3 linked regions of the Coturnix japonica genome follow. The protein of the gene in region 3 purifies or fractionates together with the protein of the main gene of each other region. This does not show direct contact. Links are inferred from orthologs where the notes say so. Each region holds a gene or a part of one and is shown on either strand. Other genes may lie near its edges.

Evidence for each region.
Region 1: the proteins of KAT7 (region 3) and BRPF3 purify together in Homo sapiens (affinity purification with mass spectrometry; 3 studies listed by BioGRID and IntAct, counting the BioPlex papers as one, with this or other methods). This does not show direct contact. The link is inferred for Coturnix japonica from reciprocal best matches to the Homo sapiens genes KAT7 and BRPF3.
Region 2: the proteins of KAT7 (region 3) and ING4 purify together in Homo sapiens (affinity purification with western blotting; 6 studies listed by BioGRID and IntAct, with this or other methods). This does not show direct contact. The link is inferred for Coturnix japonica from reciprocal best matches to the Homo sapiens genes KAT7 and ING4.

What each region holds. Positions count from the first base shown.
Region 1 is NC_029541.1:568,783-573,041, reverse strand, and holds the start of BRPF3 (bromodomain and PHD finger-containing protein 3), read right to left. Parts: upstream 2,854-4,259; 5' UTR 2,736-2,853; coding exon 2,694-2,735; intron 1,759-2,693; coding exon 353-1,758; intron 1-352. UniProt on the Homo sapiens protein: Scaffold subunit of various histone acetyltransferase (HAT) complexes, such as the MOZ/MORF and HBO1 complexes, which have a histone H3 acetyltransferase activity.
Region 2 is NC_029516.1:69,398,955-69,402,585, forward strand, and holds the end of ING4 (inhibitor of growth protein 4), read right to left. Parts: intron 3,484-3,631; coding exon 3,317-3,483; intron 3,141-3,316; coding exon 3,026-3,140; intron 2,721-3,025; coding exon 2,612-2,720; intron 2,295-2,611; coding exon 2,147-2,294; intron 1,771-2,146; coding exon 1,709-1,770; intron 1,481-1,708; coding exon 1,441-1,480; 3' UTR 610-1,440; downstream 1-609.
Region 3 is NC_029542.1:2,704,789-2,708,434, forward strand, and holds part of KAT7 (histone acetyltransferase KAT7), read right to left. Parts: coding exon 3,527-3,646; intron 2,977-3,526; coding exon 2,894-2,976; intron 2,673-2,893; coding exon 2,583-2,672; intron 1,891-2,582; coding exon 1,792-1,890; intron 1,664-1,791; coding exon 1,553-1,663; intron 818-1,552; coding exon 626-817; intron 316-625; coding exon 226-315; intron 1-225. UniProt on the Homo sapiens protein: Catalytic subunit of histone acetyltransferase HBO1 complexes, which specifically mediate acetylation of histone H3 at 'Lys-14' (H3K14ac), thereby regulating various processes, such as gene transcription, protein ubiquitination, immune regulation, stem cell pluripotent and self-renewal maintenance and embryonic development.

The sequences.
Region 1 (4,259 bases), on a different chromosome or scaffold from region 3:
GGAGGATGACTCCCATTCACCTGCCAACCTGTAATGCCTGATGTATTTTAAAAACACCTTCACAGCCATCTATGTAAATTTGGATGCTAGCTGCATGTTTGCCTGTTAGGTACCACGAAAGATCTGTACTACATAACATTTTGGGGTTGTTGCTTGGCAAAGCAGGGAAACCAGTGCACAACTGGCATGCACATGGAAGAATGTTGGTGAGGAATGTTCCTGCAGAGCACAATCTGAACACAGTTACTGCTAGGTCTGGGCTAAAGAGGGTGCTTCCAAGTTCAACAACGAAAGGGATCGAGTCCATAGAACAGACCCTGTTCATCTTCTGCTGTCCAGCTCCAACACTCACCTGTAAGATGGAATTTGTGCAACTGCCACCATGGGCATAGATGAACGCCCATCAGTCCCCTCACTAGGTTCCTTTTTGATCTTCTGCTTCAATTTCACTTTGTTCTTCTTTAGGGATGCTTGGGGAGGACCAGAATTGCCTTCTTCCTCCCTCTCCTCCTTCACAATGCCCTCCTGCCTCTCACTGGTAGCAGCTGAATGCCCTTTTTTCACTGTTCCAGGTGGGGAATGGCTCTCGCAATAGGCAGTCTTGCGCACAGTGAATGTTGTGCCATTGATGCTGGTCTCCCTCATGGGTTCAATCTTCATGAAGAGACCAGCCCGCTGGGCACAGGTGACATGGAAGGCAGTATAACAGTTCACTTTGTGGCATTGGATAGCAGCTCCCATGCCCTTCTGCTTGCAGATATAGCATGTGAGCTTCCACCGAGCTGGGGGAATGTTATTTATCCCTTCAATGGGCTCCAGGAACACAGTGTTTGCAAAGCAGACCTCTGGAATCCAAATGGCACAAACCACATGAGCCCAGCGGCCATCACTGGTCTGCTTGAAGGCTCCACCTTTGTTTGGGCAGAGTACACAATCAACAGGGCGAGAAGGGGACTGTAAGCAGCAGCGGCAAAGCCACTGCCCCTCAGGAATATAGGGCACCCCGTAACACTCCTGGTGCACAGCCAGGTTGCACATATCACAGAACAAGATGACGTTGCTGTTGTGACACTCATCATCCATGCAAACACAGCAGAATGCATCCTCATCAATGACAGACTGCTGAGTCCCGTTGTTTCGGCTCTCAAGGTACGACTCCTTTTCCAAGCGGTCCACCAGCAGCTCAAAAGTCTCAGCAGAAATAATCCCATAACCATCATCCCTTCTCTTCTCATTCACCATTTCCAGCCATGCCAGATCCTCCTCATCCATGTCATACTCCACCTCTGCATCAAGGTCCTCGGGAGGCTTCTCAATGTACCGGTAGTAGGCAGCAGGGAGAGGGGGGGCCTCTGGCTGTTTCAGGGAGTCCACCACACGGAACTTCGGCTGGGGTAAGTGTAAAGATGTTCCTGATGTGTGTTTGGAGCAGGATTCCTTCTTCTTGCCTTTGGAAGGTGCTTTCTTGGATTTTGAAGGGAAAAGGGGCTGCTCGCTGTTTTCCTTATTGCTGTTGCATTCTGTGATGTCCTGGGCAGTCAGTTCATCCTCTGTGATGATTTTTAAGGGATCGTAGATGCCAATGCGGTGAAGCCGCCCATCTATGTCTACTTCCACAATGCGCTGGGCCTGAGCGTACGTCAGCATGTCCCGAGTGGGTGAGCACTTCAGGCTGTAGGGTGATGGAGAATGCCGGCCCTCCAGATTCTGCCGTGACCTCCTCCGAGGCTTCCTCATCGCTGTGGTGCACCAGAGACGCTGCAACAAACCGGGACCAGCATGAGCAAAGGAGACAAGCTAACAGGAGCAGCACAGATTGAAAAACCCACACAGCATCACAATAGAAAAACATTTCAACTAAGGGCCTCAGCAATTTCAGGCTCAGAGGTTACTTCACCTTAAATACAAGCAAGTACTGGATGTATCAATCATTTCTGTAGTACATATCTGAGCAAGGCACAGCACGCTCCAAATCTCTCTGCTTGCAAACCAGGAAATGTTTCCCATACCAACAGATGAGAAGAGTTGAAATGGGTTTTAGAGAATGGCATCTAAATGCTCTGCTGTGCACTCAGACCAACAAACCATCCAGATCCTCAGAAACGCAGACATTACTAATAAACCCGCTTGAACCGTTCAGTACTTAGTTCACACAGGCCAAGGAGTTCTCTCTGTTCTTTTGCCTGCAAGTTCCCAGCAGTATACATAATGTGCTGAATATTAGGTCTGGTTTTCCAGGCCTAAAGGAAAGCACTCTTCCTGCCCCACAAAAGCAGTTCCCCCTGCCCACCATTTTGTGTGTTTTTTTTTTTTTAGCTGAGCTCTATGTGAGAATGTATACCAGCACTGCTCTGAGGTTCAGAAGGAAGTTCACCCACATCTCCCATCCCACTGCAACACTTCTTCCTTCACCCACATAGTGAAAGAGTTTCATGGTGAAAAACTATCTACCAGTTTTGCCTTCCTTTCTCCTGCAAGCTGGTTTCTCACACCATCCTGCAGACAGAACATGCACTGAGCTAACCCATGTCCTCCACATCATGCAAAATGGATTACAAAAGTCTATGAAGAACCAGAGGATGAACTGAACAATGGGTGCTAGCTGCGCAACCCTTCTTCTCTTGGGTAGGATCTACAAAGAAGTAAAATGGAACAAGTATGGGAACGAGCAATATGGATCCAGAAGGACTTACAAGTTCTGTCTCAGCATCAGCTCTTCTGAAGCCACGATCCATGTACAGGCCCCTGAGCTGGTTCCGCTTGCAAGATCCACAGGGGTACAAGTAGGAAAGCAGCAGGACACTGTCTAGACCAAGCTGTACTGTGAACTATGCAATGGTGCTCAAACAGAGCCTTAACTAAAAGCCCAAGACAGCTCTGCCCTCACAAACTGCTAATCAGCAACAAAGATAATCATTTGAGAGTCAGCTCCAGCCATTAAGGAGGTGCCCAACAAGGAGGGGTGGAGATGAGCTGGCAAGAGGAGCTGGAGAAGAATGGAAAGGCAGCAGCAGGATCCCAAAGATCTGAGGGCAAAAGAGGGAAAGTAGAGAGGAAGCCAAGTGAGTAATGCGAGGGAGAAGGGCAGTCAGGGATAAGAGTGCAGAGCCCAGGCAGAGGAACAAAACAGGCCAAAGAAAGAGGGAGACGAGAAAAAGAAAAGCAAATGTAAAATCTCCCCAAGAAGATAAGTCAGCCTGGAGCTTATCTGTTGCTATGCAGGGGCCTGAACCAGCAACTCACCCTAAGTTAGAGTACAGCACTTTCAGCCCCTTTCTGTAGGACCTGCAGACAAACAAAGCATTTGAATTTAGCTGTCACGTTATTTTTTTGCTCCATGACGGACTTAACTTCACAAAACCTCAAGTGAATCAAAGCAAGCAGCACCTCGTGGATCAGTGCCTGCAAGAATTCATGAAGTTATTCCAGAACGGAGTAACGGATTTCTGGAAAAACACTCTTCTCCTGAAAGCACTGCCCTGTTAACCAGGAGTCTGCCTGATCAGCTTGGTCAACCAATGGAAAACCAAGGAAACCCTGCTGACATATGGCTCAGGTACAACCTAAGGCAGACTGGTTTAATTGAAGAAGACACTGGATGCAAGACGTTATATGAACATAATTATTGTGGAGGATAAAGCAATCAGAATGACCTGACCACAGCCATTATTAATATTGTGTTCAAGAAAAACAAGACTTTAGCTGATGGCTGGCAGTGCTGAATGATGAGAAAATTTCAGCCAAGCAAGCACTCCAAGGAAGGGTTATTTTACCTGCTGACATGACAAACAAGAACAGGATGTTATTGTAGTAGCTTTTGAGAAACAGTCGGTTTACTGTCTGGAGAAATTACCCCAAGTGGGCTTTTTACCACAGCAACTGGCTGCTATAAACCAACCCATTTGTAAAACACACAATTACTTAACACTACATAGAAGCATCTAAAACGGCACTGAAATTGCTGCCAGCCAACACTCAGCGCCTGGGATAAGAATTCCAGCTCATTTCTAAAAGGCATCTGGATAATAGGAGAGATACAATCACCCACCTCCGAAAAGCTTTGAAAGCAGAAATGAAACAAACTCAGCCATGCCAAGATGGAACACTGTGACCTTGCCTGCAACACAGCAACTTCTAAGTAATCTAGGAATGTTACCATCTTCTCAGTACACTTGACAACACTTCACCAGCCACATATAAAACATTATCCCTGTGTGAACAGCATCTGTGCATGCTGAAATGCTAAACTGCCTTGACTT
Region 2 (3,631 bases), on a different chromosome or scaffold from region 3:
TTGGACTAGATGACCTTTAATGGTCCCTTCCAACTCAAACAATTCTGATTCTAGGAACTGATTAAACTGATAAGGGCCAGCTTCAGTAAGGAACATCTCCTCACTTGCCAACATTACAGCACTACTTTATTAACAGTACCTGGAGTTTCTGGCAGCAAAGTGGTACAAGGTGAAGGTGACTCACTGGGGAACAAGTTAACAGGATATCTAAAAAAACTTGTCCACATTCTTGGATGCAAAAGCTTTGTGCCGATGGCTTATTTTCTTAGTTGTACTGCCCGACAGCCATAGCGAGGGCTGGTCATCTCTGTTCTTCCTCACTCATTTAAGAGATTACAGATGAAAAAACAACAAAAATGAGAATAAGCATCTTGTCATTTGTGGGGATGGGACTAAGGAGGCAGATGTTTTCCACAGACACTGGAAAGCTTAGAAATTCTTTGACCGAGTGTATTGGATGTATTTTAAAGGATGACCTTGGCAGAACGTTCAGTATTATTACATGAAAAAAGCTGTGCTGCATTCATCAGTGGAAAAGCTGAGCTGAGAAAGATCTAAGAAAGAGACCAATTACTTACTTTGGAGGTGACAGCAAGACAAAACTGAGCATTTGTTTGAATGAATTTTATTTAATTCTATAGTATACAAGTGGGATTTTGGATCCCTCAGCTTTCCATCATCAACATAATGGAGAAGCCCCACTGTACTAAAGGGAGGGAGAATTCTGGAGCCAGAAGACAGGCTAAATCAAACCGTTTCTCACCACATGGCCAGAAATTCTTCTTCCTTCATACAGTGTGCTTCCCAGGCCAGCAGGTTTACCCCAGGAGTAAGAGAGAAAGCTAGCTCTAAACTCTCCTTCTTCCTCCTTGCCCCAATAAAAGAGGCTGCTCAATGCCAGACAAAGTAGTGGAATGATTAAAGATAGGGAGTACGTTAAAGTTTTCAGTCTCTCAACCAAGCTACTAGATTAAGCAGTGGCCTGGTTACTCCCTCTCTCCTGAAAAAGATCCAGGAAAATAGAAGACCTAAAATGCTGAAGACTTACCTCCTTTCCTTCCCCCATCCCATAGCCTTGTTCTCTCAGCAGAGAGTAGGCAATGAACTCTGAGGAGGCTGAAGGAAAGCCAAGGAAAATCAGGGGCTACCTGAATCCCTGGGAATCTGGTGGCTACCCTGGTGCCCTCATTCACTCCCTTTGAGGTTCAGAGACCTGTTTGGAATAGTACACAGAGAGGGCCTCCCTTAAGGATTTGGAAGCAGCCAGGGATACAGGACACACTGGAACTGCCGCAAGGGTACACACCATTCCAGGGATGGCCCAAACCACAAACAGGGCAAGACTCCCCCTAGCCAAGGTCCCAAGGGCTGGGGGAGCTGGGACGAGGCCCTGGCAGGGGGAAGAGAGCTCCTGCAGCAGTATTCAAGGCTCATGGGATTTTACTTCTTCTTCCTCTCCTGGGAACAGCGAGGGCAGAACCTGGTAGAAAGGAAAGCAAAAAGCCAGCATTTATGATCTGATACAAACACTGAAATCACAGTTTCAAAGGATCTTTTCCACGATATCAAAGTCTTAATTCAAATTTTCCTTCTGAAAAAGTCTTATTTTCTCCTTTATTTATTTATCTCTTATTTTCTGTCACCCACGACCTCCTCTTTCCAGAGACCAATGGGCCCTCCAGAACGTTTGTTTTAATCACTCACTCACCATTTTCCTCTTGGTTTTGTTGTCAGACCCACACAGGCAAAATGAAACCATTCGATGGAGCACTGTTGAGGTGGAGAGCACTCAGTTAAAAAGCAGTTCTCTCTTGAAATCATTGTTTATGGTCTGCTGAAACTTCCCAATGCTTAATCACGAATTCTGAAATCACTAGTAGCAACCCTAATGGGATCTGCTGGGAAACAGTCTCACACCCAACCTACACGTTGTTCATAAGCAGAATTCTCCCTTGCTGAGTACAGGGCAAAGAAAATATCAGTCGTATTAGGGAAAACCCCAAAGAAAACTGCACTTAACCGGCCAGTCCACTGCTCTTCCCAGCTGAGCCCTGCTACTGTCACTGCCTCTATATCAGGCCCCACCCAAGCAGCACAAGACTCTCCATTCCCTTCTCCCCCACATCCATCAACTACAGGCTCTTACATCTGGGTTGTCGCAGCCAATCATCTCCCCATAGGAGACCTGGTGGCAGAGGCAGTAAGTAGGCTCATTGGGGTCCACAGGCATATCCAATACATCTGAAGGGTGCACATTTCCAAATGTGACTGAAGGCATCCCATATTCTGTGCTACTACAGGAAAGAGAAATAAATCAGGTCAGTAAATCAACTAGCATCATATCTCCCATTACAATGCCCTTGCTTGCCAGAGACTGCCACTCCTCCTTTTTAAGTACATACATCCACATCCACTAGAGTGATCTGTCTTCCCCTTCACACCACAATCCCTTGAAAAAAACTAAAAGGTCTCCCTCCTTTCTTTCCAGGGAGAAATATACAACATCTGGTCTGGGTGGGGATTAAACTCTTCATAGGGAAGCCTGGCTAAGTCTCTCTTAGTCTGATTTGTAGTGCTGCTCCTCATTCCCCCAAGCGTCTTAAATGCTTACGTGCGGACAAGCTTTAATTTCTTTTGGGCAGTCTTTGGTGCCTCTTCATCAGAATTCTTCCCTTTAGAGCGTGCACGTGCAGCTTTCTTCTCTTTTTGGGCTCGGCCCTCTGGCAACAAGAGAAAAAGTTATTGCATATCCCATCCTGTCAAAATAGACACCCGACAGTAACAACCTCTTCAGCACCAAAATGCACTCCTACTTCAGAACTCTGGGCCACGCACTTCAGCTTAATTTTATCTAGTGGCCTTGAATACGCTCACACAAGAAGAGCCCTGGTCACCATCTTTTTACCTGTCCTTCAGATTCCAGCGTAACAGTCTGTACCACTTCAGTGCCTGCCTTCATCCCCACCACTTCCACAGTCACTTGGCTGCCTCCTGTATCAATCTGCAGCCCAGTGGTGGTACTCACTCTTCTTGCCCTTGCTGGAAGAACTGTCATAGTCACTCGATTCTATCTGCTTCTCCTTCAGGTCTGCTTCAAAGCGAGCAAGATCTGTGTCCAGCCGTCGGATGTGCTTATCAACCTGCAAAGACAGTGATCAGGAGTTACCACAGAACAGAGCCCAAGACAGCAAAGAGGACAGGGTACAGGGCTTGCTCTAAGAGAGGGAAAGCAAGAGTGGGTGAGGGTTGAAAGAGAGAGATCAGGGTCTTCAGCACAGCCTTTCATGAAACAATCACTAGACACTTCCCTTCATACCATCTCATAGGTCTGCATAGCCAGCTGAACCTTGTCATCCCCAAATTCTTTGCATTTCCCGTAGGCCTCCTGGATTTGCTTGAGAAGCCCCAGTTTTTCCTCTGACGACAAAGTCCGTGCATTGCTGATATACTCCGTGGCCAACTTATCAATCTCCGATTTGAGGTCTGAAACAAGTTGACCATTGAACACATAAATACATGTACATACATAGGCACTATAGTGCCTTCTGTTAAGAAAACTGCAGGTTTCCTGCTTTTCCCCGAGGTCCCAGTGATGAAAGCAAAGGAAGAAAAGCCATCCAGGCTGCACAAT
Region 3 (3,646 bases):
AAAGCTATTGATCCAACAGAGTGCAAGAGAACAGGTGAAACTGCATGTGCACAACAGCAGTGAGGAATAACCACAGTGAGAATGCAGACAAAACAAACGTCAGAATTGCAAGAATGCACAGACCAGCCTGCAGTAGCCTTTCCACCATTAGAGAGAGAAAGAGCCATTTGCATCCTGTTTCTCTACAGGAAAAGCAATGCTAGGCCTATTAATACAATTAATTACCTTGTTCTTTTTCCCATCGACTTCAAACACTGAAATGGAGCCTTTGCGGTAGATTTCATCACCTGGTGGATGTTTCCAAACACATTTTGCCTATGAGAAGTAAACAAAATTAGGGTGACACTACTGTTTTTAAAGGTAGAAGAGGTTACAACAGCTGCTGGATACACCAGGAGACACGCAAGCTTGTTTAATTTAAGTTAAGATCTCATTTCTGATCCTCTGTAACCCACTGAACAGACCAGAAATCAAGCCTAGGAAAACTTTCTTTTACAATGACCCAGAATCTTCTCACCTCTCAAAGTGAACAACTGAACTGACAGCAGTAATAATGCTTAAAAACCATCTGCATGCTCATGCCTGATTTGAAGCTCAGGAATCAAAGACCTTTCCCAGCCCTTACCATGTGTCTGCGCAGTATTGTCTGGCTCTTCATGTACTTGAGACAGAACTCACACATGTAGAGACGTCCCAGACGAGCATACTCCTCTGGGTATGGAGAATGATACCAGGTGTCCAGTTCATAGCGGCCAAAAGCGATAGTTTTAATCATATTGCTGCCTTCTGTGATCTGGCCCTGGAGCCGCAGCTTTTCCTATGAATGAAATCCATTAACAGCTATTAACATATGCCTTAAAGGGATGCTGAGAGGAAGGGGCTGTATTTCTTTCCCTCAAGGAGATCCTTCACTTTAAGTCTGTGACCTAATGACATATCCCACAAACCCCTCAAGTAAACTAAGCCTGAGCCCAGCTCGCAAGCACTAGCTAGTGGTGGAAGAATGACTTAGAAAACATCTTTAAACACTTCTGCCCTCATCTGCAGGAAGAGATACAGCCCAACTCTCAGCCTTGAGACATCCCAGATACCACTGTCACTGGTGAGCATCAAAGAATCTTTTGCTTCATTTCTGGAGATGGGAAGTAGCTTTGAAGAGCACCTACAGAAGCCTCAGCCACAATATAAGGATTTTAACCTCATTCAGTCACCAATTACTGCCAAGACTTCTGTCTTTCATTTCTAATCATTCCTTTGCTGCTGTTTCCATGGGTGAAGCTGTCCATTCCCTTACTGAAAAGATACACCTATTAAGTGAGGCTGTTACTAATTATTCCTCATCCAAGGCACTGCGGCATTTGTCTCTGCAGATGTTCAGGTCCATTTATACTTTCAGTAAACCCACTGAGTGATTTCAGCATCACACCTACTCTAACTGTGCTGACTCGGCTGGGCTGTGGGTGCTAATCTTACAGTAGATTCTACCTGCTCAGGTGCAACAAAACCCAAAAACCATTCACATTTCTGAACAACTGTGAGCTAGAAGACTCACCAGGTCCTCAGATGCCCGTGCTTGTGCTCTTCGGAAAAGCTCGAGGTCATACTCACTAGTCAGGTTCTCAAGGAGAGGTTCCCTAGTATTGCCATAAGTTTGCCTGTGTTCCTAGAGCAAGAAAACATAAAAAGGAGATTTTATTGACACACTCCAACCAGGCTGTTGAATTTTGCACCTCTTTTAACCAAGAATGTTTCATTCCAGATACAAAGGAATGAAAGAATTGCTGCTTTTACCATGTATTTTTCTTTTTGTTCCTTGCTTAGTCCTGAATTCCTCTTCTTCCTGAGCTCAGCTACTTTCTCTTTGTATCGAAGCTGTCTCTCTGTTGGTGCCTGAAAAAGAAACAGAGTCAGAAAGCTTCATTAGGCTTCATGCACTTCAAATATTCACCTACATCTTTTCACCCTGAAGGAGCTCTGTGCTGCCTTCTATTTTTTATCACATTTGTTGCCTCCAAACCGAATCCTGCATGCATAAAAAATCACTTAAGGTATAACACAATTTTTTCTCCTTTATGTAGCTTGCCTTTGTCAACACACCTCAGTCCCACAAGACAGGGTGCAATCCTTATGCACTGCTTAATCACGTGGAAAAGCTCACTGCTGACTCATCAGCTCACCCTGACTCTCAATCAGGACTCATTTGAATTGAGAAACATAATTCCCCTGATGGAACTATGCAGAGTAGAATGGTGGCATATGGGTCTGCAGAAATTCAGCTGAAAAGCTGAAAGCACACGGAAAAGACCATTGTGAGAACAACTCCAGCCTCTTCTGTAATACTACTGCTCAAAGCCTCCTCTTGGCTCTCACCAGCTGCTCCAGGCTCTTACCGAAGGAGAAAATGAATTTTCCTTGCTGAAACAAATTTGAGATTGCAAAAGAGAGCCACAGGACTTAACACGATAGCTTAACTAAGTGGTAAAGAAGGGAGATCGAGTTAAAGTCACTGTCACTAGAAACCTAAGCTGAGTTTTTTCCTACTCTTAACAGAGCAGCCACTCCACTACATGAAGACTGCCCACCTGGTGCCTGGTGGCGTGCCTGTTGTTGTCATCCTGCCGATGGGCCAGCATTCTCTCCTCAATCTGTTTATCCCGGCTTTGTGCTCGCACCTGGAAGTCAAAACTCCACCATCAACACTGCAGCAAACTACTGTCACAGCTTCCATCTTGTCCCTTTGTCTGTTTAGGTGTAACATAAATTATTTGACAAATGCTGCTGTCTTATAGCTAAGGATATCAGCTGGATCACACTATTTCCTATGCACAAACAACAAGTCTTGGCACTCCGCCCTATAAAAGCATAAGGGAGATAAAACAGAAGACTTCATTACCTTGCACTCATCTGCTGACAGGTTGTGATACAGTGGGCATCCTGATATGGAGAAGTGTCGCTCGTGTTTTCCAGTTAGGTGTCCTGTAAAGGATCAGGAAAAAGAGAAAGCTTTCAGCATATGATCATTAAATGCAGCCCAGATGGTCAGATACTGCATACGAGCTTCTCAAGAGAATAACTCAATTTGTTAACAGTGTGGTAGGAGGAAAACATTTCATGCTTCGTGGCACAAGCTATAAGAACAAAGAAGGAAAATCCCTTTCACATTAACTCAAAAGCTGCGCTCCATGCAGGCAGTCAGGTACATTAGATGACTGCATTCATCTGTTGCTGAGAACCTGCTTTTGGCTGAGATCAATACCCTCACCTACAAGGCTCTGCATTCTCCTCCCACACCTGTGCTTACTCTCCTAACTTGCTCTTTATCCCATCGTCCCCCAAACACCTCTAGACAATAAAGATAGAGCTGTGGATATGCTCCGTAACTCTTCTCTATACCCAATTCTCAGTACTGTTTCTGATTCTAAGCAGCTCCCTATCGTTACGTTGTATAAATCAACGGAGGGGGGGGCTTAATATCACCACAGGAAGGCAAAAAAAGTCAACAAATCAATCCTGGAACTGAAATTACCTAAAGAGTTACAACCAGGAGTGGGACATTTCATGTTGAAATTGTAGCTTTCATGGAAGCGGCGGCGCTTAGGGCGGTGAGACAGGTCACTTCCAGAATCCTTCATGGACATGTCCTTGG